2 linked regions of the Cricetulus griseus genome follow. The protein of the gene in region 2 purifies or fractionates together with the protein of the main gene of each other region. This does not show direct contact. Links are inferred from orthologs where the notes say so. Each region holds a gene or a part of one and is shown on either strand. Other genes may lie near its edges.

Region 1 (2,630 bases), on a different chromosome or scaffold from region 2:
CAGCACACATGTATACTTACACAGATGCACACAAAATTGGCCACATTGGTAGCAGTGACTATCTTTAGGTTAGAAGTCCCTTGAAGGTCTAACTTGCTGTGGTCCAAAAGCCATAAAAAGAAATGTGTGCCAGGGTATGCATATAGATGTCAGAGAACTTGCTGGAGTTCCAGGAAGTTGCGACCTGCCATATGTAGGTGCTGGCAACTGAACTCAGGTTCTTTACCAGAGAAGTATGCACTCTGAACTAATGCATATTCTACTTGTCTTCATGAAAGAGAATCATTGCTTATAGACTTGGTTTTTGTTTTGACAGGGGAACAATGTTGGTTTAATTAGGTTAATGGGTGAGTTTTATACCATTCATTGTATCCAGTTGTCTTAACCATCAATAATGCTGTTACCTCACTATCACTGGCTAGTGTCTTTACACTTGTGTATATATCTATTTGCCTAAGATTTAGTAAGGCTCATGAACAGCTAAGATAACAAGGATGATGATGGTAGAGTTTTTCTAAAGCATGTGAATAAAGAATGCTGAGACAAGAATACACAGCCAAAATAGGCAAATGATTAATTTGCATGCTTTATTTACATATATATATATATAATTAATATTCAAGACAAAAATGGGCAAACAAAAGTTCTCTACATTTTTCATGGTTAGCCCTGGTAGTAATAAACTAGACCGTCCTGGCCTACGTGAGTCCTCTTAAAAAAAAAAAAAACAAAAACAAAAACTACAAAAAACATGTATTTTTTACAAAATTTTTGGAAAGAGTATGTTGTATATGCTGCCTCCAGGCAGCAGAGCTTGAGCTGTGTGTGCATGGAAATGGGAGCATTCAGACTAATGATACTAATAAGTAGTTACTTTTACTTTCGGTATTTTCTCCAAGGTGCCCCTATAGTGCTGTCAGATAGCGAAGAAGAAGAAATGATCATTTTGGAACCAGACAAGAACCCAAAGAAAATAAGGTAACAGATTTCTGGTTACTTTCAAATATACATAAAAATAGGACTTATGTCTGTAAAACAGGATGCCTTTGCCTTTAAAGTTCCAGCGATCCAGTCCAGGATTCAGTGGACATACACTGAGTTGTGGTATTACTTTATTTTCGCAGAGCTCAGACCACCAATGCAAAAGAAAAGGCACCAAGTAAAAGTCAAGTGAAAAGGAGGAAAAAGAAGAGAACTGCTAATTAAAGCTAAAATGATATTTTTGTGTGTATATATATATAAAACTACTAAAAGGATATTTATTCAGTGCTTTAACAGCACTGGGTATTTTTTTATTTGAAAATCCATTATAAGAGCTGAACTGTTTCATAAATTGTTTTGTCTGTAACATTATGCTTTGAATAAACTTTCTGTACAACTTTTCTGTTGCACAAAATCTTCCTAATCCATGTAAAATCTTATTTGTAAAAGTAGAACTGAATGAGTCTGGGGAGTCTCTGCTACACTGAAGAATCTAGTTTTTGCTTATTTTATGACCAAGTCAGCAATTGGTTCAGTTGCTTAGAATAACCAATGTCAGAATTTGAAGATCAGTTTCCCTGAAATATTTCAGTTTTAGGAAGCTTTTTCTACCCCCACTGAACAATAAACCAAGTTAGCCTTTCTAAGTGACATTATCAGTCTTATTTTTATCTCAAATTAACTTTGACTTGCAAAGATTTCCAAATCAATTTATTCTTATTATCCTGACAGTTGGCAGCACCAAATGTTAACAAACCAATTAAAATTAGCCAAATATCTAAGATAGACACATGTACAAAAGATATACAAATTAAAACCATTTAAAAAGCAATGGATACCATAATTTGTCCGTGGCTATACCATCTACATTGTGAAATGATTTGTGAGATTAAAACCCAAGACAAAACTGTACATTGTGAACTCCCATTTTAAACAAAGGTAGTCTTTCATTCTTACACATTTAGTGTCTCTGGTGGGTTGAGAAGAGAAACACCATGGTATCTGTTGAGCAGAAAAAAAATTTTTTTTTAGTAAATATTCATTGGGGAGATCACAGAACAGTTTATATGCCCCAGCCTAGGGAAATGCTATTTCTATTTGATTAGACTCAAAACGTGTGTTACCTTACCCATACCCTACCAGATGAAAGGGGGAAATGCCAGGTACAATAGCTTCCTAACACATTTACCTTACTGAGGCAGCTGTGGCAGATTACCATACCCTTTAAATGAATGAGAATCTGATTCTTACTTTGAATGTTTGTACTTTTCCCTTATTGACTGTTGAGCATGCTGTGCTGCTCTGAGGTAGGTCTGGTGAAGGTCCATGAGACAAGGTTTAAGACTTTCCAGGGTATATCCAGTCTTTTGTACCAATGACTCAGGCTACAGAGAAAAGACAACCATTGAGTTTTTAGTAACAGCACAGGGCATTGACCAATGAATGCACTTACAGTTGACCTAAGGTTGGCATTCATCTTTAACATGTTCAAGCTCATGCCATCTTTTATTTTGACTGTTTGACTACTTCCCCTGCTAGCAGCAGGCAGTTGGCCCAGATTCTTGAAGCAGAGCTTTCAAATTCAAGCTTACAGCTAAGCTTTCTGCCCAAACCAAACCAGCAACTGTAATACGTACCCAGCTTTGTCC
Region 2 (2,567 bases):
TGTTTTTAGGTGTGTGGGTTAATATCAGGGTTTTCAATTCAATTTCATTGGTCTACCTGTCCATTTTTGTGCCAATACCAAGCTGTTTTCAGAACTATAGCTCTATAATAGAGCTTTAAGTCAGGGATGGTGATACCTCCAGAAGTTCCTTTATTTTTTTATTTTTTTATATTATAAAAACTTCCTTTAATCAAGGCTTGTAACATGGAAGAGATTTGTCAGATAAAATGGAAAGTTTCCAATATATTGAAACATAAATCCGTAAGTCACCATAAATACAATACCCAATAGTAAAAACCACAACAGGAAATTCACACTATCCCTGTAACAGCCATGATCTGATTTTCACATGCTTCCCAGAGATGGCAAGTATGGATATGCCTACTGGATAAAGAGCACACCAGGTCTTTGAGGTCACACTCATCTGACAGGTTGTGGCATTGGTGGCTCAGCTCAAGAAGCAAAGCAGGTACCAACACAATCAAACAATGTTTTGAACAAACATCCTTTAAATGTCAAAGTGAGAAATAAGAAAGCAACATAATCATGCTATCAGAAGGTGTAGGAAGGAAGGACAGCTGTGTAAAGCTTGAGTTTGAAAGGTGGTTCAACAGCTTCATTTCTTTGGCTTCTTGGGTAGTGGCTGCCGGAAGAGTAAGATGTGAAGTTCTGGTTCATGGATCATCATATAATGGACCCATCCTTGACTCTGCTGAACGCCAAGATTTCTCCATTCAGATTCAGACATCAAATGCGTTTTAGGGACCAGCTTGGCTATGTCTTTGGGCAACATGACATGCCGGTACTCGAACTCCTCGTCATCGTATTTGTCCAAATAGTAAATCTGTTTGTGCGACATGACTGCTCAGCCCGAGGGCCCTCAGCCCCGCACCGCCGGCCTCCTGATGACTCCCAGAAGTTCCTTTATTGTACAGGTTGTTTGGCTATCCTGGGTTTTTTGTTTTTCCATATAAAGTTGAGTATTTTTCTTTCAAGGTCTGTGAAGAACTGTGCTGGGATTTTGATGGGGATTATGTTGAATCTGTAGATTGCTTTTGGCAAGATTGCCATTCTTACTGTGTTGATCTTACTTATCCAAGAGCATGGGAGGTCTTTCCATTTTCTGGTATCTTCTTTAATTTCTTTCTTTAAAGACTCAAAATTCTTATTATACAGGTCTTTCACTTGTTTGGTTAGAGTTAGCCCCCAAGATATTTTATGTTGTTTGTGGCTATGGTGAAGGGTGATGTTTCTCTGATTTCTTTCTCAGCCATATTCATCTATATATAGTAGGGCTACCTTTTTTTTGTTGTTGTTGTTAATCTTGTATCCTGCCACTTTGCTGAAGGTGTTTATCAGCGGTAGGAGTTCCCTGGTAGAATTTTTTGGGTCACTTATGTAAACTATTATATCATCTGCAAATAGTGAAAATTTGCCTTCTTCCTTTCCAATTTGTATCCCCTTGATCTCCTTTTGTTGTCTTATTGCTCTAGTAATGGGTTACCTCCAGCCAGCTCTGGGCAAATATGCTACAGAATGTTTGCAGAACTACAAAATCCCCTAAAATATATTTTTTTTTCTGAAATCTTCCCATCACCAAGCAAAGCATGACTATATACTGAATGAAGAAATGAGGACATGACTGCTCCAGATATGGTGGAGGACAAGATTTATTGTAGATATGAGGGAGACAACAGCCAGAGGCATCTGGAAGGGTCCATATAAACTGTGCCATGAGAGAAGGGGTGCAGGGGTAGGAGTGAGAGGAAGAGAAGAGTGGAGAAAGGAGGAGGCCAAGAGGGGAACCAAGAGACCAAGAGACTGCATGCTCAAAAAGGTTGAGATTATAGGGGGATCAGAGGCTGGGGGAGGAGAAACCCAGACCATGGGCTGAAGAGAGGTTGAGGCTAGGGGGCAGCATATGCCACTCAAGATGACTCTGTGACAGGTTATTTGTGAGTAGGGACTGAGAGAGACTGGTCACCAGAATCAGCTTTGATATGTTAAAGAGGCACCTCAGCCATTTGTCTGTGGTTTCTGTGAGATCTAACGTTCCAGCCTTTTGTGGGTGATAAAGGGTGATGGAATCTTTTCTATTACTGCTTCCTGCTGGAATGGCATCTGTGTTGGGGCCCAGGAAGGCTGGAATGATGGCCAAAGAATGAGAAGAGAGGAGTACAGGCTGGTGGGGAGGGGAGGGGGGACGACACATCTGTTTCCCCTCACTGCCCAGGTTCTGTGGGACCACCTGGGGCTGGGAAAGTGCAGGTCGCTTTAGAGCAGTCTGAGATGTTGAACCACCTGAGGCTAGCCACTTTAGAGCAGTCTAGGATGCAGAGGTTTGGGCGGGTTGGAAATTCCCTTAGAAGCATCTAGGGCTGACCCTCCTGGAGCAGTTTTGGAGAAGTCTTTAGTTGATTAGAATCCTCCAGGATGGACTAGAGATGGAATATGAAGGTACGGAGTTTAAGGGGAAATTTTTATCTTCGATGTACATTTGAAATTCCCAGGCCCGTGGTCCTGGTAGTTGGGGGTGAGGGTGGGAGTTGGAGTCCCAAGACCAGGGG

What was found.
Region 1: the proteins of cyclin-dependent kinases regulatory subunit 1 (region 2) and Ccna2 purify together in Homo sapiens (affinity purification with western blotting; 7 studies listed by BioGRID and IntAct, counting the BioPlex papers as one, with this or other methods). This does not show direct contact. The link is inferred for Cricetulus griseus from reciprocal best matches to the Homo sapiens genes CKS1B and CCNA2.

What each region holds. Positions count from the first base shown.
Region 1 is NW_023276806.1:113,102,940-113,105,569, reverse strand, and holds the end of Ccna2 (cyclin-A2), read right to left. Parts: coding exon 2,619-2,630; intron 2,367-2,618; coding exon 2,233-2,366; intron 1,984-2,232; coding exon 1,935-1,983; 3' UTR 1,207-1,934; coding exon of another isoform or gene 1,125-1,206; 3' UTR 979-1,124; coding exon of another isoform or gene 900-978; 3' UTR 574-899; downstream 1-573. Other genes in the region: Exosc9 (exosome complex component RRP45), read left to right, coding at 900-978, 1,125-1,206. UniProt on the Homo sapiens protein: Cyclin which controls both the G1/S and the G2/M transition phases of the cell cycle. Functions through the formation of specific serine/threonine protein kinase holoenzyme complexes with the cyclin-dependent protein kinases CDK1 or CDK2.
Region 2 is NC_048596.1:133,402,659-133,405,225, reverse strand, and holds cyclin-dependent kinases regulatory subunit 1, read right to left. Parts: upstream 898-2,567; 5' UTR 860-897; coding exon 617-859; 3' UTR 571-616; downstream 1-570.